Linked DNA regions of Arabidopsis thaliana. The protein of the gene in region 1 interacts with the protein of each later gene in a pairwise test. Each region holds a gene or a part of one and is shown on either strand. Other genes may lie near its edges. The genes, in order: PLPB, VTC5 and VTC2.

Region 1 (10,336 bases):
GATTGGATTTTTTGGGGTTGCGCTCCACGCGTTCGCCTTTCCTGATTGCACAAAGTAAGCTCCATTCAAGAAATAATCTTTCTCTGATTGCCAGTTCCATGATTTCCATTCAGGATAAGGTGTGTACTCTCTCTTTGTAACCTGCATTCCAAATTTCTCTCAATTATGTCTCTCAAGTGTAGCTGTAGTGATTTGTTGATTAGAGAAAGTTTTCGTAGTTTTTACCTGCTTGGAATCTTCAATAGGAGGAGCAATGAAACGATTGCCTTGACTTATAATGGTAGGGTTCATGTTTCCACCAATTGCATACATTTCCCAGTGAGTGTAGTCATTGTTCACAACATGGACCAAACCAAATCTGACTCTAGGCATTCTTTGCTTCAATCTCTTACCAAAATGGTTAAACGCAACTGTTATCTGCATTTTCTTGTCGATCACATCCTTGTTTGTACCCCCAAATAGCATCACCTGCATTAAGAGAGACCTTAGACCTCAATAGTTTCTGCATTCGAAGTTTGTATCCAGTGTGTATTGTTTGGACCACAGATACTTCTATGATTTATTTGTAGCCTTATTTACCTCGTCGTGGTCGGTAAAATGGGAATTGGAGATAGTAATTGCAGTCGATCCCATGATCGCATCAATCATCCCATCAGAACAATCCGTCATTGAGACATGATCGATCCAAACATTCGTTGCTCCAAAAATATTAATCCCATCGCCATCACTCACTGTCCGAAGCCCAAAATGTTGCTCGGAGTCTATAATCAACCCACCAGCTCCCCTTTTAATCTGTTTGATATGAATATTATGTATTATCACATTCCTGACGAACTGCAACGTTAAACCTGCACCCCCAGTGATATAAATTTTCGCTCCCCGACCGTCGATTGTTTTATCATTCGTTATGATCAGTTCTTGTTGCAGTTTTATGATCATGCTTCTCGCAAAGATGATCCAGAGTGGTCGGTCCCTTGTCACGGCGTGCCTTATAGTCCCTGGTTTTGGTTTTAGTAGATCGTTGTCGGATGGGTCAGTGACTACATAGATCGGTCCGTTTTTGCCTCCGGTTGTTTTCCGGCCAAATCCGAGGACACAATCTGCTAGTTTTTTCCTGTTTTTGTCCCAGTTTTTGTCGCCTCGCCAGCATTTATCGATCGCGTTTAGGGATTCAAACCTTCCTCCACGTCTAGTTGTTTTCTTACCGCGTCCGACCTGACGGAGATCCCTCCTTGTTTCGTTTACTATCCCTGTCGTCTCCATAGCTCTGAGAAAGAAAACAAGAAAACATTAGTTTCTTCCGGAAGAAGTTAGGTTTTGATAACAAATCAAAAACCCTAACTAGGTTAAATTTTAGAGAACCCACAAGGCGGCATGGTAGTTAAAGTGGTCCGTGACGTTCTCTGGGTTCGGGTCATAAGATTCCAAAGTTTCTCGCAATGCGTTGGTTTGACGCTGCGTCCAGTATTCATCATATTCGGCGATGTGGGCTTGAACCGATGGAACCACCACGGTGAGAGACAACGCGACAAAGACGAAAACGTAGCTCCCAAGATTCACCATTTGAATCAGCAGTGGTGAGAGATTTTTATTTTATATGTATCTTTTTCCGGTGATGAATTTATTAGAACCCTTGAAGTTTGGGTCGTCCAAAAAGTTTTCTGGTCGGCCCAGGGTTAGAAATAGATAATCGGATTCATGGCTTTCTTAAATAACAAGGAACTTGAAAGAGAGAGGGAAAATGAAAGACATTAATGGAGGATTTAACGATTAACAGAGTAATTATTAGGTTACCATTGATTTGTAAATATCTCTGTTACTTTTCCTGTAAACCAATTATAGTTTGTGTGGTTTTTTTTATTGTTCTTTCTTTGTTTGTCCTTCTTTTGTGGAATATATTCAGTTATTTTTGTCTTTAAACCTAAATATTACTCTTATTTGGGTTTTCTTGTTTATAATTTTTGATTAACTTAGGATTGATTACAAAATGAATTCAGTAACAAATCATTTCTTACTAAAAGCCAACAAAATTCAATCAAAAACTTCAAAGACCACTTGCACTTACAAAGAAATCATAAGATTACGGAATGATAATTTTTGTTGAAAATATAAACAGATAAACGTATGATTCCACCAAGTGTTGTTAGCTCAATTGGCGAAATTCGAGTGACGCTTGAGACGAAACTAATATTACATGCTGTGGTTTCAGACCTAGGGGATTACGGGCTTCAGTCCAAAACCTCCTGATATTTAAAAAAAAAAAAAAAAAACGTATGATTCCGTTTAAACAAATATCTAGTCAGTATTTCGTTTTACTGTTTTGAGATTTTTAACTTTTGAAACATAAATTAAAATTCTGATTAAAAGTTGATTTATAACGAGCAATTAAAGTGTTTCATTTTAGTATTTTATAAAAAATTCTTTCGAATCCTTCACCCTAAAATGTTATATAACGACCAACGACCAAATTTTTTGTTCGACTACCAAACGAACAAAAAATGTGTTGCGCGCAATAACTTTTGATGATCGCAATCGTTGGTATCAGTCTTTAGCAACTGCAAACATGAACATAGACTTCACATTTTAGGTATTTCACCATTTTCTATAGTAGTAGTGTAGCAATGTACTGTGAATTTTAATTTTGGTCTTACTCTTAGATGATAGATTTGAGTTGGCCGATATGAACATTGGCGACAATTTGTTATTTTCGTCTGCGAACCTGTTTTAAAAACAAAACAGCTTAATACAGCCCAATGGGCCTCCTTACTCGAATCAATAATAAGCGATGAGTGAATGACACATGTTAGCACCGGAGAGTAACGTACAAATGATAAATGCCACGTAAGCCAGGTTGCATCGATTTGATAACACAAACAAAGCCACACGACACAAGAGAAATAGATAAGTATGGACAGTCAGCTTTTGTCTTTTTCCAGCCTTTGTTTACGTGGAATCTCGGTTTCTAGGACCCACTACACTCCTTAAATAAGAGGTGCATAATTTTATATTTAACAAATACAATTAGCATTAGATTAGTCCAAATATCCGGAGTGATTTTTTTTGGTTTTTAGAATATTTATTTTTTTATTGTAAATTATAAAAAATGTTATATATAATTTTTTTATAGATAATTTTTTTAATTTTATTAGATTTATGATATACAATGTATTCTTTTTTTATGTTATAAATATTTTTAATAAAATTTGTTTTTAATAAAATTTTGGTGAACGATTATAATTATATTTTGTTGTAAATTTTTTATACATTTATTTTTATTAATCTGTAAATTTGTAATAAATTATAATATTTGAAATTCGAATTTTAAATTTTTTGGTATAAAATTATTAATAAACTTTTAATCAATTAATAGATCAAAAAAATTTATGTCCAAATTAATTAATTAAAATTTTTTTAACCTACACTATTGTTTAATGTTATCACAAATTATAAATTTTTAAATTAATTATTTTGTTTGGTCGGCAAATTAAGATATTATTATCAAAAACATTTTTTTTTTTTTCGCAACACATTAGTTACTAAATGAACTATTAAGTTCACTTATCTTATCCAATTTGTGTCTACCCTACATAAACCTTGTACTTATCCCTAAATCACTTTAGATAAATTGTTGAAAATTTAATTTATAAATTTTGTATTTACCAAATTAGGAAAACAAATATCTGAAAATATTTATTTTTAATATCTTAACAACTCGAAGAACTGAGAAACGCGACAAAACCAATCGTCCTCTTCCGATAGCCACAAAACAAAAATCAGACAAGAAGAAAGAAGAACGTTTCTTCTAACAGATAGAGATTACAATCAAATTGACTCTTAATTTCTCAATTCCGTATCTCTCATTTCATCTTCTTCTTCTTCTCCTTTACTTAAGGATCTCTGGTTTCTCTTTCTCTCCTCTGTCTTATCTTCTCCAAAGTTACGCTTTTTTTCAATGAAAACATTTTCTTGATTCCTGATTTCAAATTTCACAATCTGGATTTCGTGTTTCGAATTCACTTTGAAGAAAAAGTTTCTCAATTTCGCCTGAAAACCCACATGGGATTGGAACTAAACACTAGACTGACAAGAAGAAGAAGAGTAATCATCATCGAGTGTTTATTACGATTATGTCCTTAACGAAATCTTCAGAATCAGTTTTCACTGAAGAAGAAGAAGAAGATTCCTTTAGCGGTCGATACACGTTATGGATCAAAGAAGCATTAGAGGAGCTTCCACACAATTTCACAATCACCGACCCGTTTATTTCGGGTCACCCGATTGTTTTCGCGAGCTTAGGGTTTTTGAAAATGACTGGCTATTCACGAGAAGAAGTGATCGGAAGAAACGGTAAAGTTTTTCAAGGACCTAAGACTAATCGAAGATCGATCATGGAGATTCGTGAAGCGATTCGTGAAGAGAGATCAGTGCAAGTGAGCTTGTTGAATTATCGTAAATCTGGGTCTCCGTTTTGGATGTTGTTTCATATGTGTCCTGTTTTTGGGAAAGATGATGGTAAAGTCACCAATTTTGTGGCGGTTCAGGTCCCGATTTCGGGACGAGAACATCATCGGAAGAAGTTGAGAAATGTCGGAGATTTGTCGTCGGATACTTCTCCGACATTTGGTTCTTGTCGAAGAGAGGTTTGTTTTGGTAATTTCGTGTGTCAGGATCGAGCTTTACCAGTGGAATGTGATGATGATGAACAAGGTTTGGTTTTTAAAGTTATGCGTTTTACTTGTTTGATGAAATTCCTCAGAGAGCGTTTGAATCAGTCAGAATCTTATCCTATAGCTTAATGAACGTTCTAAGTATTGATTTAAGCATTGTTGTATTGCAGGATTAGAGGATTGGGAACAGTGTGAAGCGAGTGAGTCCGAGAAGCTGAAAGCTACGGAAGCTATTAACAATGTGTTATCTATCTTAGTGCATTACAGCGAGTTGAGTGGTAGATTAGTCTGCGGAAAGCGGTACTGCTTGCGAGGAGTAGATTGTCTAAGCTCGTCGTTAGTTATTTCTCTCGGTAGAATCAAACAAAGTTTCGTATTGTGAGTACATTATTTTTTTATTGTGTTATGGAGTTACAGTCTGCTACAATAGATTTTGATATTGACATTGTTCTCGTAACTTTGCAGAACCAATCCATGCTTACCAGACATGCCTATCATTTATGCGAGTGATGCCTTTTTGACACTGACCGGTAAGTGTGTCTAGGTTTGAAGAAATAAAGTTACCGTTATTAGATTTTGGTCACAGTTCTTATTTATATCAATGTTTGTAGGTTACAAGAGACAGGAAGTGTTGGGACAAAACTGTAGATTTCTGAGTGGGGTTGATACTGATTCCTCAGTACTATACGAGGTAGAGATTGCGTTTTAACTTGTTAATTAGTATATGGCATGATTGATAATTGTGAATGTTTTATTTGGTTCAGATGAAGGAATGCATCTTAAAGGGACAATCATGCACAGTGCAAATACTAAATTACAGGTTGAAGATTTACTTCTTCAAAACATTTTTGCGATCGAATCTTGTTTCTTTGATTTGTTTTGGGCTGATCATATATGTTTTTTATCAGTAACAGAAAAGATAAGAGCTCATTTTGGAATCTTCTTCACATCTCACCAGTTCGTAATGCTTCAGGCAAGGTACATATCCCTTCATGACTACATACTTCCTGTTACCAAATCCTTTTGTCTTTCATTTTTTGGCCTTGATACAAAACCCGAATATGACATGTAGAACTGAAAGTAATTAGTACAGTTACTGATTTCTGCTTTTTTTAGACAGCATATTTTGTGGGTGTTCAAGTAGAAGCAAGTTGTAGAAATACTGAAATTAAAGAGCTGAGACCAGAGACGAGACAACTGAGTGTTGTCGGTGCGGTTAGAGTTGCGGTTAGAAGCTCATTGATGGTGACATGCTAATATACGCCAGAAAGAAAATGCGTCGACTTAGAGAAGAGTCTAAAGTGAATTGGACATACATCTTTACTATATGTATAATCATTTGACATACTACATTAATATAAGTCTTTATTTTACCGAGTATGTGCACTCAAGAGAACGTGAATCGAGTTAGAAATAGGTCATTTATTGAATGCGGATAAGTATCAAGAGGTAAGAACTAGTTAGTTTCATCAAGTTAATATGATTAGATGAGTATATTATTAAGTGTTCCGAATGTCGAAAATCCAAATGATCTCGGTTTCACTTTACAGATTCCGTATTTTTCACCTTCAGGAGAATGCAACATCGTTTATAGAATGTAAGAAACAAGGTTGGTATCGGCAAACAAGAAAAAAATATTACAATCGAAAATGTTCTGCTCGTGATTCGACAAACAGAAGACATCTCCAATCTGTATTCCAAAAACACGAAGATTTATAGGTGGAAAATGCAACATAGAAAAGTAGAAGACATTTCCAATCTGTATTCCAAAACTGTTGGATACGGACACCGGATATTGCACTTATGGCAAATTGGGCGAGAAGCAGAATTGTTGCGTTGAAAAAGAATCTCACCGCCACACAATGGGAAAGTTAGACCCGGCTTCAAATATGGATCTGGGCCAAGTAAGCAATTAATATGAAGTGTGGTACAACACTCGTTGCACTTATAGAACCCTTTTTCTCCTCCAACGACTAAGCTTCCTTCGCATAATTCACACCAATCTGAGCCACTTGCCTCGTCTCCACGACAAAACGTGAGGTAATGCTCATCATGCTTGTACCTTACCGTGTATGGTAGGGTAGCACACTTAAAACATATGATAAAATCACATTCAATGCAATTTACTACCTTTTGAACTCCTGTTGACTTGCAAATGTGGCATACTGTCGTTTCTTTGGGTCTAAAGCCAGAAATAAAGGGTGTGGATGGACTTGATAATTAAATGGCTCAGAAGCCGAAGCACACACTGCATCTAGCTCGTAGTCACAACCATTGATGGTACACACATATCCAAAACCACTACTCTTACGCATACAAGCAGCACATTCGAATTCATGGTTTTCATGGACAACCTTTTGTTCAATTGGATGTGGATGTAATGGATGAACCTTCTTCCGGGGGGCATCCGCACATTTTTCATGTAGAATAAAGTCACATTTCACACAGACATAAAAGTTTTCCTCGTTGATTGGAAGGACACAAGCTTGACAAAACTCGTTTTCTTTGTAAACTCCATTGGTTTCAAATTTCATATGACAACCATGAGAAAAGTGAAGTATGATTCCATCAGCTATCCTGTAGAACGGAAGCTCAACATCTTTGTCTTCTGGTACTCCTTCGAGTTCAATGCCATCCCATATATCCTTACGCAATGCACATCTTGTGTGAACAGCGTAGTCCTTACACACATTGCAACTGTATGCCCCATAATCACTGTCAATCTCTCGGCGACAAATTCCACAACACCATTTTCCTGATGGAAGAGAAGAAGTGAAAGACACACCGTGGAAATGACGAGAGATTCTTATAGTTTGTGGGTTATGGATACAGTCTATATGGGCTACAAAATCGCATATAGAACGACAGACGTAAGTGAGATGAAGTTTATCTACCAAACCGCAAACATTGCATGTTAAGGAAGCTTGTCTAGGAAAAAGGGTGAGGGTATGGTCATGCTTTTTTGGTTGGTCTATGAGAAAAGGGATTTTTGCCTGAGCACAAAGGACATGCATATAAATGTCGCAAAGAGCACAATAATAAAGCAAAACTTCTGCTTTCTTTGTGCTCAAGATGCAATGCTCAAATGTTTTTACATTATAAAGTTGGAGAGAATGTTTGACGTGGGAAGGATAATTGATCTCTAGTGGAGACTCAACACATTCTTTGTGGTACCTTTGATCACACTCGACACAGAAATAATAGCATGTGCCGACCTTTCGGGTATTGCAAATACTGCAATCGTTTTTTGGATCAGCTTCTTTATTGTTACACCAAAAGAGAGGGAGTATGTCATGACCATACATCATATTGTCACCAAGGAGATGGGAAATCCTTAGCTTGCCATCAACATCAGGCGTTGGGCCCCCATCATCTAATAGTTTAGCTTCGATCGTTATTGTTAGTTTGAATCGTAATGAAGGGCATATAAATAGAGGTGGAGGAGGGAGGTTGTCGCCGGAATCAATGGCAACTTTAGTCATGTTTTGGATTGGTAATGGGTTTTGAATGAGGTGTTTTTCATCGGAGGAATTTGGGCTGTGTATTTGTGGCTTTATAACGTTTTGGTATATGAGACATGGTTTCCCATCGATTTCTCCTTTTTGAAATTCTCCGACCACGTCCATGTCTGCTTAGATCGGAGACTATTTTTAAGAGGTTTTTGGGATATTGCTATCGTTCTTGCCTTTACATATCTATAGACACATACATACTGAAACGTGATGTCCTCCCATTTGCAATTTGTTTAATATTTCTTTCATAATGATATAATTTAGTCGTGAGTTTTTGATGAGTGAACATGTCATATAATTCAAGTGGCACATAAACTATGGGCTATATGCTATTTTCACAGTATTATTACAATAACATGATGATATATATTAATGCATCTTATGTACGATAACATAATGAGATATATTAATGCATCTTCTGTAAGAAAGTCATTGTTTAAACTTATACAGCTAAAGCTGGTTGATAAAAACAACAAATACAGCTAAGCTGAAACTTTCTATTTTAAAAAGGCAAAATACAGCTATAATATTAATTTAGTCTGTTTTATAAAGTCTTTATTATTGTATTATTTATCTCAACGATTTTTTTGTATATCTACTAATAATTGAGAAATTTAAATTTTCATGCCATTGGTTTTAAGACCATTTTCCTATTTTATCTAAAAGGTATAAAAGCTTTATTGTTTTTGGAGTATTAATTTAGCAGAATATTTTCGGATTTTAACAAAAACCGGAAAATTAACTTAATCTTTCTAATCCGTAAATGTGATTTTTTTTTCTTAAATATCAGGAAGTTCTAAACCGAAATCTATAATTCTCTCAAGGCCGAAACCACAACATGTAATAATAATTTCGTCCCAAGTGTCACTCGAACCGGCGACTTCTAAACTTCACGTAGGATCTTTACCAATTGAGCTAATGACACTTGGTAAAGTATTAAATTTTTAATTATTATATTTAGAAGATTTTGTTAAGATTTAAATTTATACCCTAAACCCTAAACACTAAACTATAAACCATATCATTTAAAACTATACTCTAAAACCAAAATAGTTAATCCAAACCTTAATGTTTTGTGTCTATGATACTCTGATAAATCCAAAAGTTTTGATAGTAGTTTTGATATATTAAATTAATAGTGAAGTCGAAGTAGAAGCTGCAATCTAGGTGATGAAGTGTATGATTGGCCGATAATCAAGGTGTAGCATTTTTTTACGAACTGTTCAAATCTGGTGAATATGGTGTCTTCTCCAAAAGAATTGTCGGCGTTCTCAGCTTATTTGGAAAACTACAGAGCGACAAGAAAGAATTAACTAATTTTTCTTTATCTTTAATTTCTTGTAATGTAAATATAAAAGCGCATAATTTGGCGCGAAAAGTTCGCACTGAAACGCTTCATATCACTTATATAAACAACATTTCTCAAATTTGCCTCGTTTTGTGCTCTAATTAAAATCGCGATGACAAAAAAAACTAATATATAGTGATATTTTTGATAATAACCTTATAAATGTGATATTTTAAGAAAAACAATTTAATACTTCAAAATATTAATAAACAATGGAAAGTACACAGGTTGGAATATTTTGACTTCTAACATAATATTGAAGGCACATGGACCATTGAAGTTGAATTGGGAATCCAAATTTTTTGTTGGAATATTTAAAAATAATAAAAATTGTTGGAAGATAAAATAAAGAGAAAACCAAAAATACATATTGAAAACAGTGATCAGGTAATTTCTGCAAATAGTAAATCTGCAAAAAAAAGAAGTAAATCCAAATCTGAGATGAATAAGATAGAGAGAGGCTATCTAACCTTGAAATTGAGTATCTCCTACAAACATTAACATCACGTGATTGACGACAATCTAATTAGCAGAGGGATATAATTAGACTGAATTTTGAAAAATCTCAAACATTTTATTTGGCTGTAACAAGAGAGGAGTGTACTTAGAGTTTTTTTCTTTTTTTTGTCATCCGAAAATTAATTAGGACTCAAAAAAGACAATTCTGAAGAATGTTGTTTACAAATGTAATATGAAGCGGTTGGATACGAACTTTTCGTGACAAAAAATCCGCTTTAACATTAGCACTACGAGAGATTAAAGATAAAAAAAAAAAGCTTGTGAACTCATTTTTATCGTTCTGTAACTCT
Region 2 (11,031 bases), on another chromosome or scaffold:
TTTTTTATTGACGAAACAGAGAGACACAAAAACTGTAAAAATCAATCTTGAGAAGCAAAGCAAGGTTCATAGTAAATGATAAGTCTAAAGCTTTTTCAGATTGGTTTCTGAGGAAAGGTAAGGGAGAGACAAAAGAGTTGGTTTACAGCTACTTGTTCTGGTTCTCGTTGTTGTTCTCCTCGGCAGCTTCTGCCTCTTGCTCGTTAAACCTACGCTTGAACTTGGCAATCTGACCAATGCTTTGAGCCATTTGACGCTTAGCTCCAAAGTGATAAACTTTGCCAACATGGTGGATTCTTGTCATCATCACGTGCATCAATCTACCGCTCTGTGTCACATAAGAGATCCATTGCATTTGTGGGTGCAATCCTTTCTTCATTGTCCAACAACTCTACAAACAAACAAAACAGAACCATTCCTTCTTCAGTTTTGCTTAGATCCATCTAGCCTTTAAAGCATTCAATGAATCTCCAAACGAACAGAGTAAATATATGAACATTGTTGAGGCTTCTCAAAGATTCATAAACCAAGCAATGTCCATATGTAAAAGATTACCAAAATGCAAACTTTGTATCACTCACTGTCATGATCGACATTACACAATTGGCTTAACGAGGATGCGATATTTCTACCTTGTAGCTAAACACACAAAAAAATGAATGAATTTGGATTAAAATGCCCATAGTAGTAAACTGCTGATTGTAATTGGCATTTTATCGAACACCTTCCATGCATTTCCTTATTTAATAAAACAGATGCAAAACCTCAACGGCTTTAAACCCAACAAAACCCAATTAGGTTCTCTTTGTCATCGAAAGGGACAAGCAGAGACAAAATAAAAACACTTCTGGAATCCAAAACATCAAAAGAATGAAATGCAAAAGTTCAACAGATCAGTGAAATGAAGACGACAGACAAATAAATATAAATGAGAGAGTGAGAGATGGAGATGAAGAAGCGTTTACGCGAGAAAAGCTAAAAGCTTGAGAGATATGGAAATTGTTGAAGTATCCAAGTCTCAGAACTCCGGTGATGGCAGCTGAGAAGAATGTCGATCTGACTAAAGGAGAAGGGCCAAAGAAAAAACAAATGTTACAAAAGCTTCTTCTTCGTCTAGAGGGTTTGCATAAAGAGGGTTCCCAAATATGCAAATAAATCTAATACAGGATTTTTATGAAATTTGTTTTTTTTTCTTTTCTTCTGTTTCTTCTCTTTGTCCATCTTTAAGACTAGAGTAACTAATTTTTTGAATTAGGCGATTTCGATTTTATTGATTCAAAAGGTTCGAACAAAGACGTAACAAAGCCAAGAAGAAAAGAAAAAAACTACAAAACAGTAAAATGTCAAACACAAGTTATGCAAAATCACGACGACAGTTATGTTTTTGCTTTTAGTTATAAAGCGCCTCAATTAGAGACAGCCTCTTCTTTCACTGAAGGACAATGCACTATTGTGAAGCTGCCACCATTCATCGAATTCTGCTCTTCAAGCTCCTCTTCTTCTTCTTCTTCGTGACTACTAAAACCGATGGCATCAAATATCATAGTGTTAACTTCTCTGAATCTCTCCTCTGATAAAGAAACTTCAGCTAGTAACCTCCATGCCTTCTCTTCTGACGCTCCTTCATAGTCTTCTTTCCTCTTCAACACCATGTGTCCACTCATCTCCCAAACCGCTGGATTCACTTGCGTATCCAATAGCGTTGAGCTAACTTCTCCTAAAGCCTGTTTCTCTGCGTAACACTGCAAATCAAACAATGGTTAATTAGAAAGCTCTTCTTTTGACAGTCAATATCAAGTTTCGTTTATAATGTTGTGAGATTTAACCTGAGGGAGAAGGAAGATTCGTTTGCCAGAGTCAGAGATGAGAATGTTGAAAGGAATGTTGTTGTTCTGAAGACAAACGGATGCGTCTGATACAGTATCTGCGAGATCTTTAATGGTGTTTCCACCTTCAACTAGAAGACCTCTCACAGGGTAATTCAAGAGTTTAGAGATTTTGACGCCATTATTGGTGGTAGTGATCTTCAAGGAAGAAGCTTTCTCTATCGGGAATTGCATTGCCAAATAGTAAGCCTGTTCCAAGTAGAATCTCCATAAATATCACAATAGTATAAAGGTGAGAGCATTCAGTTATTTGGTTCAGTTCATGTTGCTTTATTCGATTTCGAGAATTCATAACAAATTAAAACCGATTGGTTATAAACAAATTTCGAACTATTTGATTCTGTTTACCTGAAAGTGAAGATGGTTAATGGTAGCGAAAGCGCCTAGACTGTTGTATCCAAGTCGGAAATACGGATTATCGGCTTCAGCCGCCATTTGAAGAGCAAGCAAAAGGCTTTTGTGATCAATCCTTTGAGGTAAGCAATCAAGAACACGAGGAATCAGCAACACATGCCCATACTCAATCGGACTCACCTGCGTTAAAAGAATTCTGAGTTCAGTTCTCAGATAATCAGCAAAGGAAAATAGACTCCTAAAAGCAACAACTCCTTACATTGATTGCAACGACGCTAGGAGAATTATCAGCGTCTAGAGGCATACTCGCCAAGAACTGAATTTCACTATCATCATCATTAGTGCTAGCTTTAAACTGGAAAAGCAACTCTTCTTGACCAACTTTAGTGAAATTGAATTTGTTTCCATCAAATGGTTGAAGAACTTTGTCAACACGGAACTCGGTTGGTCTCTTCTTGAGATGCCGACCTTCATTCAGCTGCGCAATGAAACCGTACTTCCCCGGTATAACCTATTATTACCAATGCACACCAACAACCAAACATCAACAATGTGAAACAGAAAATTGATTCTTCAGCTCAAGTAAATATCAACAATGTGAACCTGAAACTAGATTCTTTAGCTTAGGCAAACATCAACAATGTGAAACAGAAACTTGATTCTTCAGCTCAAGTAAATGTGAAACTAAAACTAGATGCTTTAGCTTAGGCAAACATCAACAATGTGAAACTGAAACTTGATTCTTCAGCTCAAGTAAACATCAACAATGTGAAACTAAAACATGATTCTTAAGCTCCAAGTAAACATCAAGTCATCAACAATGTGAGCTGAAACTTGATGCTTCAGGTCAAGTAAACATCAAACACATTTGGCTCTAAAAGTAAATCAATTAACCAAAAATCAAAGAGACAATAATACCTTGGTTTCGCAGGCGGTGACATCATAGCGAAAAAGACCTCTTTGGAAACGATCTTCCCACTAGAAAACATAAGGCATTTGATACATTACTCAAACAATTAACGAATTGGTTAACGAAGTGAGAACTTTTTAACATGTATCCAAAACCACTACCTCTCCAATAACTAAGGATTCGAGGAACGTCACCGGAGATTCTGTGTTCTCTCCGACGGATTTATCAAGATTCTTGCAGGTATATAAAGGAAGTCTTGCCCCTGAAAACACAAACAAAATGTCAGCAAAATTCAAATTCAAACAAAAAGAAGAACTTTGCCAGCTCTATAAAATGTACCATTGATGCAACACTTGCTCAGACAATTCCGACCACATCCACCTTCTTCAACTGTCTCATCTTTTTGATAATTCGATACAACTGTTGGAACTCTTTTGATCTTCAACAACATTGCTCACAAATATTATAATCTCGAAATAACAGATTAATACAGGACTCTAAGAACTAAAAACCTAATTAGAAAAAGGGTTAGGGTTAGTGGCTATTTGTGGAACCGCCTCCGGCGAGGAAGAGGAGATCGGAGGGACTGCCGCCTTCAGACGGCAGAGCTCCACGTCCTCCGTGAGGCAAAGGATTAGTTATGATTAAACAACCCTTTCGTTGGACATGAAAGCTCAAAGGCCGTGGCTTTATCCCGTAAATAGCCGTGATTACCGATTACCAATCTCCCCGGGGATTCGCCGGAGAAGGAAAACAAAAAAAAGGATAGATTTTTCGAGGTGGGTTTCAATCACTCTTTCAGACTTATAGTAATGGTAGGTGAGTGAACCAGAAAGAGAGCAAATTCACGTGTTTGATGTGTGAGATTTTGAGGTTGTGATTTGGACGTGTGGATTTTGTGAGGAAGATAAAAACAAGTGTTCACGGGTCATCTTTGAGGTTTTTGATTTTGACCCGATTTGGCACTTTTTGACCCGTTGGATTAGTATCCATCGGATAAGTCAACCTATTGACTTTGACAATGACATCATCTAGGTAATGTTCTTCCTGATGAGTTAACCCCTAGCTACATACCAAAAAATGATCAATAAATTAATTTAGAAAGCACCAAAATGAATTTATTTATGTTTGTAATGAAGAGTTTTTGATCTAACTTTAATGTTCCACTCATTCTTCTTGCATTAATAATTGCAAATTTGCAATTGAATCATATGTTTGATAGTAATCAGAGGACCAGCTATGAGGAAAGAGATTTTATTTTATGTATTATACGTATAAAAACATTATTCATGATATTATTTTGGAGTGTTTTTATACACTCCAATTATAAACCTTAGTAATAAAACAGCAGTATATATTGGAACGAGGATGTTCCATTTTATTCGTAGACATTGAAAATAGAAAAAATAATCTCCTTTATATACCCCTCAAAACATTATGGGAATCCAAAAATACACACAACACTTTAATTAATTATTAAGTAAATAATTAATTGGACCGACCTTTTTTAATCAGCGTCCATGTAAATAAATCATCCGTATAATTTTAGTTAAATTTTTTTTTTTTTTTTTTTTTTACGTTGGCGTGAATGAATGATTGATTCATCACGCGTAGTTACAGAGACCGTAGACGCAGAACTCGCCGAGATCGCAACGATGGTTACACTCACCGCAATGGCGTTTATCGTAGGCCACGTAAACGCACTGACCACGACAACACGTTTGCCCGAACTTGCATTTGTTCTTACATAAACCGCAGTTTTTGTCGTCGGTTGATAAATCCATACACTTGTTGTTGCAACAAGCCATTGTAGCGTTTGCTCCTGTGCTGTAATCGCTGCTGCTACAGATTTCATTGTCCTTGTTGCAATGGTCAGCTGCGTTTGGGTTACGGGCTTTTGGTTCTTTACCCTTGTCGACTTTTTCTGCCAAGAACCGACTTGGTCTGATCTTGATCGTTCCTGGTGGTGTAAGGTCCTTGAAAGGGTCTTCGAGAGCAAATGTTGCGGTCTTGGTGGTGGTTTTGGTGGTGACGATGGCGATTGTGACCACGGTTGTTAATGCAATTGTCACGAGTAGCTTCATGAAATGGGCCATTTTCTCTTGATCTATGAATGTGTTAGTGAGTTACAGCGAGATATATTGTTCTTCTTCCTTTCTTTGTCTCCTTCTTCTTCTTCTTCTTGTTTAAATTATGTGAATGTAGAGAGCTAGGAAGAGAATTTGGGAGAGAGAGAGAGAGATTGAGCTGTGAAGAATTGAGGAGAGGGTGGACTTAGGGTTTATAGTTGTGATCGAGACGAGTTGACGCGTGAAATGTGGTGAAAAAGGTTAAGTAAGGTTTCAAGCGATCGATCTTTTCTTGGGGAGAGGTGTTCTTTTTTCCTTCTCATTTCAGTAATTAATTTTGTGCATGTACATGCACATGCTTATTCGCTTACGCGTTCACAACATAAGAGTAAAAATAAATTATGTGTGATATACGTAATCAAAACATATTAATTTTAGACAGCCTCTCGTACTAATAATGTAGTAATGCATTTGTAATATGTTACCAGGTGTGAGAGAACTATCTTTGGAATATGGTTGATTTTACATGTGGTGATCATTTGAATTCATTATTATAGGTTAGCACTTACCAATGCTAACTTTCATGTTATTTTTTTATTGATACCATGTTAATCAGAGTGTTCTATATATATCGGTTTTTTTAAAAAAACTTCAAATTATAATGACAACATATAACAAAAATAGAAAATAAAGATGAGGATTCTAACTCTTTCGACCAAAGGAAACCATGCAAATGGCTGAACTTTACGGTTCAGAATCGGTGTTTTTTCATGGATCTCCGCTAATCGAGTTTTCGTTTATGTTTTTCTTGTTTGTGTTGTATTGTAGTTTTTGGTGGTTTTTTTTTTTATGTTCTCTGTATGTAAATTTCAAAAATGATATAAATTTAACTTTTTACCAAAAAAATATAAACTAAAATAAAAACTGCATATGCGTGACAAACCATGACGGAATCCATCGCTTTGCCTCATGGGACGGTCTGAGATGATTCAGGCGAGATGCAAGGAGACGCAAAGGCGTGATTTTGATTAAAAGAAAATTACTTATTGATTTTATTTGTCGTGAAAACCACGAACCACTAATTTATATATTTCTAAATAAAGCAAATTGAAGCTATATACATCCTGCCTCTAATGGACACTTGCTTTAACTTGAATTCTAAAGTTCTCGATCCGCATACGCCCAATCAACCACGATTATATAATTTAATATATGAAAGGCCATTTTTACATTGTAACTTGTAACAATAGAATAATATGAAAATAATCTATATAAGTCAATAAATAAAAGTTTTTACTTTAGAAACACATGAGCAAGCTTTGTAAGGCTAAGTTCCTTCCATCGTCACTAGTCTTCTGTTCATATCAGACAATCTCTTACATAAATGATGTACAACTCCGTTCTCTTTAGTCTTTTCCATGGAGTAATTCAACTCTTTTTTTCATTCTATCTCTAATCTTCTAATATGGTACCATAGTTCCAAGTATAATTACCCGACATATGATTTCTCATAGTATACATATATAGTCAGTGGCGGATCTAGAACCATAATTAACCCGAGGCACAACATATTTATAAATTTTTAAAATAAAGTACAATATGAACATTTCTTAAAAGACATGTAAATGGAAGAAAATTTTTTGAAGTGTCAATCAACATTGGCAGTACCTTATATTAGCATAATTCCTTCAAACAGTTATAGAAAAAGATAAATAAAGTAAAAATAAGTTAAATACTGAAAACATTTATTACTTGAAAATAGTAAAATTAATGAGTAATAACCAACTGACTAGAAAAAAAGTCACTCTAACATGGGGCACAACAAACGAATTCTTTCATCTACAATACAAATTGCACAACAAACTTCAAAATTATCAAATCTTGCATGGGGCACGTGCCCCAGTACTTATACACTTGCGTCCGCCAATGTATATAGTCCGTTTTGTAGTGATATGTCCGAGACAATGAATATCTCACATTACAAATGAAAATACAAGGTATATAGATCTTTCCACTTTATTTTAAGTTACAAACAAACCCGTGATTCCTGATATAAATATGTGTAATGGAATCCGAATTATGATGTCCATTAGTACGATGATGACCATTAATTAAACTAATACAACTTGCTTTGTTAAATGTATGTTTTTGCATAAATGTGTACAATCTATATTTAGTTTTTGAAACAGTTATATAAAATTTGAATGTCCCTATAGTAGCTTACACTAATATAGCTCTATACACCAACGATCGAACTATCGAAGAAAATTCTTGAATAAACCAGTCAAAGACGTCCACAAGGCACAAATATTATATACGGTGTTGAAGAAAGCAATAGAGAGAGGTCAACGCTTTCCTCCAATTTGTTAAACAATGTATAAACTTTACGTCAAAAAAGTCAAAACCATTCCCTTGTTGCTTATTGGTCATTTTCCGACCTATACGATAATCTTATTGTTTCTCTACGATATCTTTCTGTTGCATTAACTATTAAGCCACACGCAAAGTCGTTTTACATTAACGTTAGTTTAATTAGATAACGTTAGTTTAATTAGTATTATTTCTACAGAGTAATTGCTTTCGAAACTTTTGAAAACAATGTGCCATACAGGTTGTTCAAACATGGTTAGATAGATGCATAAAATTACAAAAATTATATAGAGAGAATATTAAATCACTTAACCATTGTATCATGAGGAGATAGCTTGAAAGCCCTGACAAAGAAAGAGGGTTCATAAGTTACCTAAAAAAGAAAGAAAGAGAGCTCATAATATTTTCATCAAAGTAAAAACTCAATGTGGATAACCGTCACATCAAGACGAGGCAGATACTAGATTGAGCAAAATTCTCCAATGAAATCACAAATGTTGAAGCACTTTAAATTTGGAGATTTCACTGCTTTTTCACTCTTAGGGTGGCTTACATTTATTAAAGTTAAGGTTATGGGGAAAAAATATAAACTTTCTTAAGCAGGGTTGAAAACGCAAAAACATAAAGAATGCACGTCGTTGTTAGTTATTTTCTCCCAAATGCGTGTGGTTTTATTACTTTTCAAACGGCAAGTAAAAAAGTCTTATAAACGACGTCATTTAGTCGACTTGATCTCTTTTGTAAGTCATCACATCTTTGGGTCAATCACGAATTTGGAACATCCGGTTCCAAATTACGGATTACACAGACCCTAGCCTCTTCCCCAAATCCCAATTCTCCATTGCTTTAGAAGAATCACACAATGGATCTAGAGATTGTTGGTCGTCACGCTCTCTTTTTCGACGATGATTCGATGGCAACGTTTGTCAACTCTCCGACGGCGCTCGTTGACTGGAACAGCCTCTTTATTGACCGCTACGATGTTCGTCATCTCCTCTCTTCTCCTCCTCCTCCACGTATCAAACGCCGTCGTCCGAATTCAAACGATGCTGACTTGGAATCGGAGCTCGATCACGAGCGTTATCTAGATTTACCGTCGGAATCTCCATCTCCGTCGGATGATGATGAACACGGTAAGGATGATGAACTCCGTAGAAATCTCCGTTAATCTATATGGTAGAGAGACTCGAACTAGCTATGTTAGAGACATAAAACTGTTCTAGAGAATGATTACGAAAAATTCAGATCGAAACTTAATTTGTTTGCCCTTTGGATTTGCTTTACTCTCCAGATATGAATGAGGATTCAGCAAATACAAATGCGGATGGTTATCGTGCTGTCTCTTTTTCATATGGAAGCTCTAGTGATGTCAATGACCAGAAAAATGCTGCTGATATGGAATCTGGATTTCACCCGCCTTTCCCCGTGCCTGATTACTTACGTCAAAACCTGGTAAGTTATTGCTTTAGATTGTTCCCTTTAGCAGTATGCTAGTTTTTGCTAACTTATTTGGTACTTAAACTGATATTGGCCACGTAAACATCTGAAAGGTGCATTTGTTATTCTAAGGACTACTATGTCTAAGTTTCAGATGCTCGGAGAAGAGATGGAGTTGTCTAAGGTTGTCATTCACATGCACCTTGTTTCCTTTTGCTGCCATGACAAGGGGCAGTGCAGGTGGGATTAAGATGATAAAAATTCATGACTTACCAAGAACCTTAAAACTGATTGCACACCAGATGATGCATTTCTATACAGTTCTGAATTTTGCAATTTATGGTTCTCGATACTTATGTGAGGTTTTATTATGTATATATACCTGCGAGTTGCCAAAGGTGTCATTCATCATATTTCACATTACTAATTTTTTCTTGTATATTTTTTTTCTCTCTTCTTTCAGCCTCCAACTGAGAAATTACATCAGATTATCACTAGGACTTCAAGTTTTGTAAGCAAACACGGTGGGCAATCTGAAATTGTCTTGAGAGTCAAACAAGGAGACAACCCTACATTTGGGTTCCTAATGCCAGACCATCATCTTCACCTTTACTTTAGGTTTCTTGTTGACCATCAAGAGCTTTTGACAGGAAAGTCTTCTGTAGAAGAGAAAAAGAACGAAAGTGAGAAGGATGGTGGAGCTTTGTCATTGCTTGGTTCGGTTTATGGGACTGTAGAAGATGAAGATGCTAACGAAGAGTCTGCAAACGACTCCAAAACAAGTGAGTCCGCCAAAGGTGATGATGGTGTTAAGGTAACTGATTCCAATGGACCTGAAGGGTCGAAAGGAGCTGCAAAGATTGCCTCTAAGCATTCTCTGCCGTTGAATGATCATGCATCTTTCATAAAAAGAAATCCCTCTGTCAGCGCAGTAAATGTTGTAGAGAAGAAGCAGATCAATACAGAAAAACTTGTGACGTCTGATAAGTCGCAACCCAAGCTTGAACTGCAGATTGTGGAGCCGACTACTGAGATGAAAAGAGTGATTGATAAGATAGTAGACTTCATTCAAAAGAACGGGAAAGAACTAGAGGCTACTCTTGTTGCACAGGATGTGAAATACGGGATGTTTCCATTCTTACGTCCATCTAGCTTATACCATGCATATTATCGGAAGGTTCTCCAAGAAGCCGAAGAGGTAATTCTGTTTCAAGTTCTTAAAATGTTCCTGCTACAAATTTGGTGTGTTTTCACGTGCTTTTTAAACCTTGTGATTGTAACTTTCACTAAAATGTAAAACGTTGGTTGATTTCATATGCAGTTAAAATCAGGTGACAAAGGCGTTATTATCAGAAAAGAAGACGTGAAGCAAGAGAAGATGGGCAATGCTGTAAAAGATAGCAAACACGGGTTTGGGAGTGTTTTACCAGATGATTCTGCCAAGAAAGAGAAACTAAAAATGGTTAGTGACAAACCAAAGGTCGAGTTGCACAATGAACCATTCAAGCCTGTCCAACCGCAGATGAGGGTCAATGTGGATGCGAATACTGCTGCTGCTATTCTTCAAGCGGCTAGAAGAGGCATAAGGAATCCCCAGTTGGGGATTCTAACAGGCAAACCCATGGATGAGACTTCTCAGACCCTTGGAAATGATGTGAGTTACCCTTCATCTAAGTCCCCTGATTTGGCCAAATCTACAGGTCAATCACTCTCTGGCTCGACTGCTGCTAGTGAAGCTGATTCTTCTGAAGCAGGCTTGTCTAAAGAGCAGAAGTTGAAGGCAGAAAGATTGAAACGTGCAAAAATGTTTGTGGCCAAGTTAAAACCTGATGCGCAGCCAGTTCAACAAGCTGAACCGTCGCGAAGCATATCAGTCGAACCGTTGGACTCTGGGATTTCTGGATTAGGTGCTAAGGCTGCCAAAGAAAGAGACAGTAGCTCGATTCCATATGTAGCTGAGTCAAAACTAGCGGATGATGGTAACAGTGAAAGACGATCAAAGAGG
Region 3 (11,099 bases), on another chromosome or scaffold:
AGCGGGTCAGGGTCCTTCCAGTCTCCAAGACTAAACCCGTCTCACTTATCCGCCAAATCTACGACGCAGGTCACCGTTGCTTCGGCGAGAATTACGTTCAAGAAATCATCGATAAAGCTCCACAGGTTCCTCTCTCCAATCCTTGTTATCTTCACTAGATAATCGATTTCATTTCAAAATCCGAATGTTTATCCTTCAATCACTAACTACTATGTGTCTCTCCATTTTCTGGGAATGTGATATATTTTGTGCTTTTGATGATGCTAATGGAGCTTCTCCTTCACTTTGTTTGATTGATATACAGCTTCCGGAAGATATAGAGTGGCATTTCGTGGGGCATTTACAGAGCAACAAAGCCAAAACGCTATTGAGTCTGACTTTTATCCCCATCTTTAATATTGAATTAGGGGTTTAGTGAAAGTGAAAGTCGTTTAATCCAATGTTTGCAGCTGGAGTCCCAAATTTGGCAATGGTTCATGGTGTGGATGGAGAAAAGGTATTATAACTAGCGATTAGAGGTTGTTGTGGCGTTTAACTTGCACAATTCACTTTACTAGGAGGTTATTTTGGTTATACAATCACTTGGGATTGATTTCACAGGTAGCAAATCATCTAGATCGAGCTGTTTCAAATCTTGGGAGACATCCACTAAAGGTTTTGGTCCAAGTGAACACAAGCGGAGAAGTTTGTGAGTATTTTACCTCTATGCTGATTTCCTTGTCCAGCCTCTTCAGTTGGCTGACTGATTGATTATGGATGCAGCTAAATCTGGAATCGAACCTTCTAGCGTTGTAGAGCTAGCAAGACATGTGAAACATCACTGTCCAAATCTGGTATTCTCCGGATTAATGACTATTGGGATGCCTGATTATACGTCTACCCCAGAGAACTTCAGGGTATTCTACTACTTGATTGGATACTTGTTTTACGTGTTCTCGGGTTATTCCTACAAGTTTTACTTACCAAGGTTTATTCTTTTCCCCATAAACCGGGACAGACACTTTCAAACTGTAGAGCTGATGTATGCAAGGCACTTGGAATGGCTGAGGATCAATTTGAACTGTCCATGGGCATGTCTGGTGACTTCGAGCTAGCGGTAATATCTTTGTCTCTCTTCTAATATCGAAAATGCAATCAACTCAATATCGAAAATCATTTGAATGTGTTCTTTCTTTCATCCGAGGAACCACATATATGTGGAAGATGATCTTTGACTATGTTTCTGCAGATTGAGATGGGAAGCACCAATGTGAGGGTTGGTTCCACCATTTTCGGACCAAGAGAGTACCCCAAGAAAACAACTTAGCTACTATGCTCAAACACTTGTTGTAAAATTCATGTATAATGTTATTTTGTCGATTATTTTAAACAATTTTATTCTTCATTGATAAACTTAGGTGTATTCACAAAGTTACTTTATAGAAAATTAGAAATCAATACATTGTTAAGGGCTTTGTAACTGAGTTGAATATTTGTAACAGCAGATATCGCATTTTGATACTTGTCCTCTCGAAATTGATGTTTACTGACGCACGATTATTGGGAATTTGGGACTTAGTGGTGTACCAATAGCATCTCAGCTTTCATGGTTACAAAGAGGCCAGTGAAAGAGGCTTGGTCAACCGCAATTATGATCCGTTACTTGCACTGACTACCACCGATCCACCGCCGTAACTCTTTAAATCTTAATGCAATACTAATTCGAATTACATGTCGAGGTCTTAAAACATGATAAATGGTTGTTTAAAGTAAAAAAAGAAAAGAAACAATAAATAAAACAAACGGTGATGGAAGGAGGGACGTACGATCGTAGTCGTAGAGACTGCCAAATAAATAATGGACCACTATTATGTGGTTCAAGAACTATATCCTTTTCTTAGATTCCGAATCTTAACTTGTGTTTCTTGCCTTGTTTGGTTTTTTTTTTGTTTATTTTGTAGTTTTGTCTCATAAAATAACGAACAAAAAGCAATGGTCTAAATATTTCTCAATATATGTATTTAAAAATTATATCATAGTTTCGCAAAAAAACGACCGAACGAACGATGGTAGTCATTTGCCCAAATTGAGCCTCGTAGTAGTTGCTACGACCACACCCCCGTCCCATGAATAAACACGACCATGTAAATATTATCTATAAAGACAACATAAATTTACAAATTAATGTTGAACAGAAAAAGTCAAAAAGAAAATTTCGTTAATATAATAATAATATTCTATGATAATATAAAACGTGGCATAACACATGACTTCACATGACATCATAAGAAGACATATGCCACATGAACTCTTCATCGCCTCCATCCTTTTAGTCTCGTTTACATGCAGCAAACTACGATCTACGATTATATACAATGAAATTCAAATTCATAATCAATTGGCATTAAACATACGTATATCATAATTCATAAGGTTAACTAGGTTTAGCAAATGTTATTCTCTTTGGATAAACGTTTAGCAATTGTTTATCTCAAATTTAATTGAAAATACTTGTAAGACACAGTTACAATTAGTTCTCAATTTCCAATCTACACAAGATTTAAATCTTTCTTTAGTTCATTCTGATCTATTTTTCTCTCAAAGAAAATGTAGTGCTCCAACTTTTCTCCCAAGACTAATAAAAATTTTCTTAATTGCATGCAAAAATATTTTTTCCAACTTTAATCTTATCAAACTTAGATCTCATTTTATCTTCCGAATAAGATTTTTGTTTTGGTCCTTTGCCTAATCAAACTAACTAATTAGATTAGAAGAAAAATACAATTAGACAAAATAATATCGATGAAAAAATAAAATCCACAAGAAAGGACCTAAGAAATTTCACGTCCGAATCACAACCACAGAAAAAAAGAGAGAAATATTAGTATATAATTAAAATTTTGTCGTCTGTCTTCTCTGGTTCACTCATCTCCTATCTATTTAAAGCCCATTCGATATCCTAAAACACTGTATCATCAAAAAACACCTCAAAGAATTATTCATTCAGGCATCTTCTCAAATTTTTGTTTGTGAAAAAAACCCACATCAAAAGATCTCTCATTTATTCGTTTCGTTTCTGCTGTTTTGAGTGTCGGGTTCGTTTTAGCTGTAATCTTTTTTTCCGGCGTTCGATTTGAAAAAATCCGGGGAACAGGTGATCGGAATCACGGCTATACACGGGATATCACGGGGTGTTAGCTCACATGTCCATATTGTCCGACAGAAGGGTTGTTTAATCGAAACTAATCCTTTGCCGCACGGAGGACGTGGAGCTCTGCCGTCTGAAGGCGGCAGCCCTTCCGATCTCCTCTTTCTCGCCGGTGGCGGTTCCAGCTTTAACTTCTTTTCCTTTAGGTTTTAGGAGTTAGGGTTTGTTAGTGTTTTTTCCTTCTTCTTTTTTTGGTGCTCTTGAATCGCTTTTTTCTTGGGGGAAGTTTTTTCTTTTGCTCTTCGAAATTTGTCTTTTTTGAGAATGTTGAAAATCAAAAGAGTTCCGACCGTTGTTTCGAACTACCAGAAGGACGATGGAGCGGAGGATCCCGTCGGCTGTGGACGGAATTGCCTCGGCGCTTGTTGCCTTAACGGTACGTTTTGGAAACCTGAATCGTCTTTTTTAATCATGTTTAAATTTTATCACTTTTTTTTTATTCACCTTATGATGTGTTTGTTCAGGGGCTAGGCTTCCATTGTATGCATGTAAGAATCTGGTAAAATCCGGAGAGAAGCTTGTAATCAGTCATGAGGCTATAGAGCCTCCTGTAGCTTTTCTCGAGTCCCTTGTTCTCGGAGAGGTAAATCATAGACCACTGATTTTGATATTCTGATAATGGTTTCTGTAGCTTGGAAGAGTCTAATCAGTATTCTTATGTTTAGTGGGAGGATAGGTTCCAAAGAGGACTTTTTCGCTATGATGTCACTGCCTGCGAAACCAAAGTAATTGTCTTTCTTACCTTGTTTGACAATCTAGTTATGTTGGGTTGTTTGTTGCTGAGGAATCCGAGATATGTTTTACATTGTTCTTAAGATTGTTTCTCTTGATGTTATAGGTTATCCCGGGGAAGTATGGTTTCGTTGCTCAGCTTAACGAGGGTCGTCACTTGAAGAAGAGGCCAACTGAGTTCCGTGTAGATAAGGTGTTGCAGTCTTTTGATGGCAGCAAATTCAACTTCACTAAAGTTGGCCAAGAAGAGTTGCTCTTCCAGTTTGAAGCTGGTGAAGATGCCCAAGTTCAGTTCTTCCCTTGCATGCCTATTGACCCTGAGAATTCTCCCAGTGTTGTTGCCATCAATGTAAAGACTCTTGTGCAGAGAGCTTGGTTTTTTCTTTCTTCCTTTTATTGGTTTCGCTAGCAAAAGATTAATTCTTTATTGTTGTTTTTAACAGGTTAGTCCGATAGAGTATGGCCATGTGCTGCTGATTCCTCGTGTTCTTGACTGCTTGCCTCAAAGGATCGATCACAAAAGCCTTTTGCTTGCAGTTCACATGGCTGCTGAGGCTGCTAATCCATACTTCAGACTCGGTTACAACAGCTTGGGTGCTTTTGCCACTATCAATCATCTCCACTTTCAGGTATATCCAAAAGTGATCCAAGCATAACCTTTTCACCCTTGCTCATCTAAGATGTTTGTTCTGATTGTTTTGGTGGTGATTGTTTTTGGAAACAGGCTTATTACTTGGCCATGCCTTTCCCACTGGAGAAAGCTCCTACCAAGAAGATAACTACCACTGTTAGTGGTGTCAAAATCTCAGAGCTTCTAAGTTACCCTGTGAGAAGTCTTCTCTTTGAAGGTGGAAGCTCTATGCAAGAACTATCTGATACTGTTTCAGACTGCTGTGTTTGCCTTCAAAACAACAACATTCCTTTCAACATTCTCATCTCTGATTGTGGAAGGCAGATCTTCTTAATGCCACAGGTATATAACTACACCGTTGGATGAATACATGTTTTGAATTACTTAATCAAAAGTGAATAACAGTTTGAATGTAAAAATTGCAGTGTTACGCAGAGAAACAGGCTCTAGGTGAAGTGAGCCCGGAGGTATTGGAAACACAAGTGAACCCAGCCGTGTGGGAGATAAGTGGTCACATGGTACTGAAGAGGAAAGAGGATTACGAAGGTGCTTCAGAGGATAACGCGTGGAGGCTCCTTGCGGAAGCTTCTCTGTCGGAGGAAAGGTTTAAGGAGGTTACTGCTCTCGCCTTTGAAGCCATAGGTTGTAGTAACCAAGAGGAGGATCTTGAAGGAACCATAGTTCATCAGCAAAACTCTAGTGGCAATGTTAACCAGAAAAGCAACAGAACCCATGGAGGTCCGATCACAAATGGGACGGCCGCCGAGTGCCTTGTCCTTCAGTGAACAATATGGTGACTTGGTGGTTTGTATGTATAATTAAAAGCCTAAATAAGCAAACTCTCTTTGTAGTTGCATTTGAAGCTTCTTGGTTTATGTATGATGGTTGTGGGCATTTTGTGCCTAGACTTCTGGTTCTTTGTTTTTTGTTATGAGTTGGTGTTTATGAATTATATATGTTCTTCACTAATATGATTATTATTTGTATAGATTTGATTATTCAAAGGATATGTCTTAAGAAGGGGTTCAGGTTCAGCCAACTAATTACTTGTAACCAAGTCTTTCTACCATCAACAACCATGTTAAGATTCAGACACTTAGTTTTTACAGCTCGAGACTCGAGAGAGAGTAATAATACTGATTATTGTCTTGTCTATAACCACCACAAGCTCTGGTTATGAAGTCGTCCTCTATAGACTATAATTCACTAACTCGATGCTAGTTCATGTTTAAGTAATATTTTGTTTAGTTGACTAGATGGATTTTATCTTTGCTCGCCATTAGCTCAATGAGCTACGTATATGTTAAGAGTCACACTTTCAATAATTAATAGCTTTTTACCGTTACCATACCAACAAACTTTAGATAATTGGGTTAATAACACCTTTAAGCCGAAATAGTAGTATCATAGGATCCGATACCAAACGAACAAGACAAAAAATCAACCAAAGGGTTCTTTAACCTTCGTGACCATAATAACTTAGTTTCTAAAGAGAATGGTCACGATAAAAAAACAAGTCTGCAAATCCTAATGCCGATTACTCCTTAACCATTCATATCACACACAAGCCCTAAACCTGGACGAAGTGTCAGGCCGTAGCACCACCACCGCTGCCACCAGTCTGATGGAGCATCGCATCGATCTCATCACCATCCTCCATGTCAAGCTGTAGTGTCAAGAATTATTAGTATCAGAAACTATAAACTTCAAAAGGTAAGAAATAAAGCATGTAGAATGAATGTTATACCTCATCGGGAGTTTGCTCAGCACGAAGACGACGCCCATCAAACAAGAAAGCAATGGAGTTCATGTCCACAGATTGCCGGTCACAGTAAGCATTCATCAGCTTCTTGAGCTGAGTGCTTCTCTTGATCCTAAAGAAAACCTCGTTTCCATCCTATAAAACAAACATATAGAAGGAACAATAAACGTTAGAGACCGCATATGAAACAATAACTAAATCACATGGCTCTCTTTTGGTAGTAACCTGAAAGAGTCGAAAAATTAAACACATATCAACAAACATTCAGTTTAAGGCTTCGTCTATGAGAATTTGAAGCACAAACATCAGCCAAACTAATTGAAAACTTAGTACAGAGACTACAACTTCATCAGAAGATATATAACAACTTAGTACAGAGACAGCATCGTTCACAGTCTTTAGAACATTCAACAACTAAGTAAACTTATCCCTTCCAAAACTATAAAACCCTCAAACAACAACAGGAACCAAAAGCTCAATAACAACTTACACCTAAACAAGACTTATATAATTTCAGAAATTTGATAAACAATTAGCAAAAACAAGCAAACGTGTAAACATAAAGCAGGATACTTTAAACCTGTAAAACAAAAGAGGAAGAAGACCATTAAGACTGAGCTAGTAGTACGAAACCCTAAAATTAAACCAAATTGGAGAATGAAAAACCCTAATCGCAGCTACACGAAATCAGAAACCCAAACATTCACAAGAACACACAAGGATGAGAAGGAGAAAGAGAGATACCTGTCCCTTGACTTTGAGATTGATGTGAGCTCCTCCGTCTCCTGGCTTCTTGTCTTCCTCCTGGTTTGCAGACATCGTGAAAGGTTCTCCGTCCGGTTACAAAAACACGAAATTTGAGAGAACGATGAGAGATTCACACAATCAAAGAATGATGCTGAGAGATGAATATAAAAAGACTGACTCTGAAAATCTCTCTAATTGGCCGTGGCTTTTGTACTTGGACGCATCGGATTCCTCTCTATCATAAATCGTAGGGCATCTATCCAACGGTTCATATTCTCTCTAGGTTCTCTTTTAATCCAACGGCTGCTAGTTATGTTCAAATCTGTCGTTTCGTTATAATGGGCTTATATTTTTATTGGGCCACATCTAACCCACTAGACAATTTCATTTGGTTAAATATTTTAGGTTGCAGTTCCTGATCTCACGTGACGTGAGTCCTCCTATCCACCACTCTCCATGATTTCATCATCTGTTGAAGACTTGACAATTTGACATAGAAGAAATAAATAAATTGTTAAATCTATAAATCATGTCACTTTGTGTATTAACAAAAAGATTAGTTGAAGGAGATAAAGTCTGTCACACACTCTTCACAAAAGAAAGAAATGATGATGAATTAACGAAATATGCGCAATGCAACATATAAAGAACCTAGGTCTTGACTCTTGTTTAAGAAACAATAAAAGTCAAGGTTTTTGTTAGGTTTCTGTTATAACCAAAATCAACTATGAAAACATTCATATGTTAGAAAAACATCAAAATTATAGAGAGTTCCTTTAACTGAAGATTATGGTAAAGTAAAACTTTTTGCTATAAATAGAGCTTTAAAATTATACAGTTTTAGTTAAATCTATTATTTCAGCTATTCTTCCGTGTTATTAGTTATCCCACAACCCCCACTTGGCACTTGTTTACACCTAAATCGTATAAATACTGTAGACCAGCTCCGTCCCAAACGCAACAAAAACTTTCCTTCGTCTCCATAACTATCAAACGACACTCATCTATGCGTTTAATGCTCTGTTTCTGAAGATACACTCGAGAATAACCATGGCCGTTTCTTTCTTACCTTATTTTCTGATTCTTTCCTTCCTCTCAGCCATTGACGCACGTTAGTTTTTAATCTCTTCATATACCTATGTCTGTCTCTGTATTTGCCGTGTCTACTACGTTGTTCTTATTTTGCGTTTTTTTTGTTTTTGTTTCCACAGATTCTGGAATGGTCGGAGTCAATTATGGTCGGATAGCTAACAATCTCCCGTCGCCGGAGAAAGTAGTGAACCTCCTGAAATCTCAAGGAATCAACCGTATCAAAATCTTCGACACCGATAAGAATGTACTAACCGCACTTGCAAATTCCAAAATCAAAGTAATCGTCGCTCTCCCTAACGAGCTTCTCTCCTCCGCCGCCTCCCACCAATCATTCGCCGACAACTGGATTAAAACCCACATAATGCCATACTTCCCAGCGACGGAGATCGAAGCTATCGCCGTCGGTAACGAAGTATTCGTCGATCCGACGATCACGCCGTATCTTGTCAATGCGATGAAGAACATTCACACCTCTCTGGTTAAGTATAAACTCGACAAAGCCATCAAGATCTCGTCTCCTATTGCTCTTAGCGCGCTTGCTAATTCGTACCCGCCTTCCTCTGGTTCTTTTAAACCGGAATTAATCGAACCGGTTGTTAAACCAATGCTTGCTCTGCTTCAACAAACGTCGTCGTATCTTATGGTAAATGCTTATCCGTTTTTCGCTTACGCAGCAAACGCCGATAAAATCTCTTTAGACTACGCTCTGTTTAAAGAAAACGCCGGGAATATAGATTCCGGTACCGGATTGAAGTACAACAGTCTCTTTGACGCTCAAATAGACGCCGTTTACGCGGCATTGTCCGCCGTCGGATTTAAAGGCGTTAAGGTGATGGTGACGGAAACAGGGTGGCCTTCCGTTGGAGATGAGAATGAGATTGGTGCAAGCGAATCTAACGCGGCGGCGTATAACGCCGGACTTGTGAAGAGAGTGTTAACGGGTAAAGGAACACCGTTAAGACCGACGGAGCCACTTAACGTCTATTTATTCGCTTTATTCAACGAAAACCAGAAACCGGGGCCAACGTCTGAGAGAAACTACGGTTTGTTTTACCCAAACGAAGGGAAAGTGTACAACGTTCCGTTCACTAAAAAGTCAACGACGCCGGTCAACGGTAACAGAGGTAAAGTTCCGGTGACGCACGAGGGACATACATGGTGCGTTTCGAACGGAGAGGTAGCGAAGGAGAAACTTCAGGAGGCTCTTGATTACGCTTGCGGAGAAGGAGGAGCTGATTGCCGCCCGATTCAGCCAGGTGCCACGTGTTATCATCCTGAGTCGTTAGAAGCTCACGCTTCGTACGCCTTCAATAGTTACTACCAGAAGAACTCACGTCGTGTTGGTACGTGCTTCTTTGGTGGAGCTGCTCACGTCGTCACGCAACCTCCTCGTACGTTAATCTAATCTCTCCTCTGTTTTTATCATAACATTACATATTTTGCTTTAGTTCAATTCAGAAGTGTATATTTAGCTGTTATTTATGCTTAAAAATTCATTTGGTATGTTTATTGAAAAAAAGAAAAAGATAGTGGCAAATGGTTTAGTAGTTGGCGGTTGTGAAAGTTGAGCTATATTGGGTCATTTTGGCCTTTTAAGATGTTCACGTTTCTGTAAGATCGATATATATGGTGACCTTTAATATTTTTATATAATTCTAACAAAATTATTTTTTCGTTGATTGCAGGATATGGAAAATGCGAGTTTCCCACCGGACATTGAGGCGGAATAGTTGGCAGCAATTTTCTGTGTTTTTTTTTTTGCCTGATTTATTAAGTACATTGTTTGCTAATCGGGAATATATATATATTTTATATTGTGTATAAAATATATTAACTTTGTTGAACTATTTTATATATTTTAATTTAAAATTATATCATCACTAGATTATTCTCAAAATCTTGCATGAATGCTGAAGTTTGACATAATAAACAAAATGAATTTTATGTTGCAAAAATAGTATATTTTATTCTAGTATATTATTATTAGAATTTCAGGGTATATATATTAGAAGGAATAAAATCTTGTATAGTGGATAAAATGATTCTATAGAAACTAAAAGATTCATCTAGTTGAGATTATAGAAATCAATGATTTTATTAATCATTTTATCTATTATATATACAATCAGAAAAAATGATAAAGATTTTAATTATTAATATCTTTAATTTTTATAATCTCTACTAGATAAATCTTTTTCTCTAATTGTTTTGAGATATCATCATATAAACAAGTAAACATTATCAGCACTTGTATAAATCCCAATATGGATGATGAACAAAACCTGGTTGAAGAAATGAATCAACAGCTTCTGATAACCGTCATTGATACCGAAAAAGTCCCGGAACTCCGACCAATATCATCACGGAGCCACCAAGAATCCGAACCAGCTAATATCTCACACTGGTCACTACTTTTCAAACTCTTTCTAGCCATCACGATCATGGGTGCTTGTGTAGCAGGTGTGACGTTTGTCATATTGATTACGCCAACTCCCCCCACAGTACACGTACAATCAATGCATATATCGTTCGCCAACCACAATCTCCCGGTCTGGTCCGCAACGTTCTCTATCAAAAACCCTAACGAGAAACTCCATGTCACGTACGAGAATCCTTCAGTGTGGCTGGTTCACCGGGGAAAGCTCGTGTCGACCGCAAGAGCTGATTCGTTCTGGCAGAAAGGCGGAGAGAAGAACGAGGTTATTGTCAAGAGAAACGAAACAAAAGTTATCGATGAAGAGGCGGCTTGGGAAATGGAGGATGAAGTGGCGGTGACAGGAGGTGTGGTGGGTCTTGATATGGTGTTTTCTGGGAGAGTAGGGTTTTATCCAGGAACTTCTGCTTTATGGGGAGAACAGTACATGTCAGCCGTTTGTGAGAATGTAAGTGCCAAGTTGTATAATGTTGATGACGAGATCTATGGGACAAATAGATCGGTTTTGTCATTC

Evidence for each region.
Region 2: the proteins of PLPB (region 1) and VTC5 interact in a two-hybrid assay, tested with the Arabidopsis thaliana proteins (2 studies listed by BioGRID).
Region 3: the proteins of PLPB (region 1) and VTC2 interact in a two-hybrid assay, tested with the Arabidopsis thaliana proteins (2 studies listed by BioGRID).

What each region holds. Positions count from the first base shown.
Region 1 is NC_003071.7:754,400-764,735, reverse strand, and holds PLPB (PAS/LOV protein B), read left to right. Parts: upstream 1-3,671; 5' UTR 3,672-4,127; coding exon 4,128-4,707; intron 4,708-4,837; coding exon 4,838-5,045; intron 5,046-5,132; coding exon 5,133-5,197; intron 5,198-5,278; coding exon 5,279-5,358; coding exon of another isoform or gene 5,359-5,376; exon of another isoform or gene 5,377-5,431; coding exon 5,432-5,487; intron 5,488-5,575; coding exon 5,576-5,645; coding exon of another isoform or gene 5,646-5,663; exon of another isoform or gene 5,664-5,783; coding exon 5,784-5,924; 3' UTR 5,925-6,043; downstream 6,044-10,336. Other genes in the region: AT2G02720 (Pectate lyase family protein), read right to left, coding at 1-141, 226-468, 580-1,267, 1,367-1,563; AT2G02700 (Cysteine/Histidine-rich C1 domain family protein), read right to left, coding at 6,794-8,293.
Region 2 is NC_003076.8:22,362,085-22,373,115, reverse strand, and holds VTC5 (GDP-L-galactose phosphorylase VITAMIN C DEFECTIVE 5 (VTC5)), read right to left. Parts: upstream 4,110-11,031; 5' UTR 3,602-4,109; coding exon 3,490-3,601; intron 3,413-3,489; coding exon 3,312-3,412; intron 3,219-3,311; coding exon 3,159-3,218; intron 2,752-3,158; coding exon 2,500-2,751; intron 2,421-2,499; coding exon 2,235-2,420; intron 2,076-2,234; coding exon 1,827-2,075; intron 1,743-1,826; coding exon 1,407-1,742; 3' UTR 1,249-1,406; downstream 1-1,248. Other genes in the region: AT5G55125 (Ribosomal protein L31), read right to left, coding at 149-379; AT5G55110 (Stigma-specific Stig1 family protein), read right to left, coding at 4,755-5,246; AT5G55100 (SWAP (Suppressor-of-White-APricot)/surp domain-containing protein), read left to right, coding at 8,452-8,722, 8,881-9,041, 9,490-10,224, 10,348-11,031. UniProt on the Arabidopsis thaliana protein: Catalyzes a reaction of the Smirnoff-Wheeler pathway, the major route to ascorbate biosynthesis in plants. Acts as a phosphorylase rather than as a transferase. Uses preferentially GDP-L-galactose and GDP-D-glucose as substrates.
Region 3 is NC_003075.7:13,493,498-13,504,596, reverse strand, and holds VTC2 (GDP-L-galactose phosphorylase 1), read left to right. Parts: upstream 1-2,895; 5' UTR 2,896-3,451; coding exon 3,452-3,563; intron 3,564-3,651; coding exon 3,652-3,770; intron 3,771-3,852; coding exon 3,853-3,912; intron 3,913-4,025; coding exon 4,026-4,268; intron 4,269-4,362; coding exon 4,363-4,548; intron 4,549-4,643; coding exon 4,644-4,892; intron 4,893-4,975; coding exon 4,976-5,335; 3' UTR 5,336-5,641; downstream 5,642-11,099. Other genes in the region: AT4G26860 (Putative pyridoxal phosphate-dependent enzyme, YBL036C type), read left to right, coding at 1-125, 305-371, 450-496, 601-688, 763-896, 968-1,096, 1,229-1,306; SUMO1 (small ubiquitin-like modifier 1), read right to left, coding at 6,139-6,216, 6,298-6,447, 7,057-7,131; AT4G26830 (O-Glycosyl hydrolases family 17 protein), read left to right, coding at 8,198-9,542, 9,837-9,871; AT4G26820 (GrpE-like protein), read left to right, coding at 10,416-11,099. UniProt on the Arabidopsis thaliana protein: Catalyzes a reaction of the Smirnoff-Wheeler pathway, the major route to ascorbate biosynthesis in plants. Acts as a phosphorylase rather than as a transferase. Uses preferentially GDP-L-galactose and GDP-D-glucose as substrates.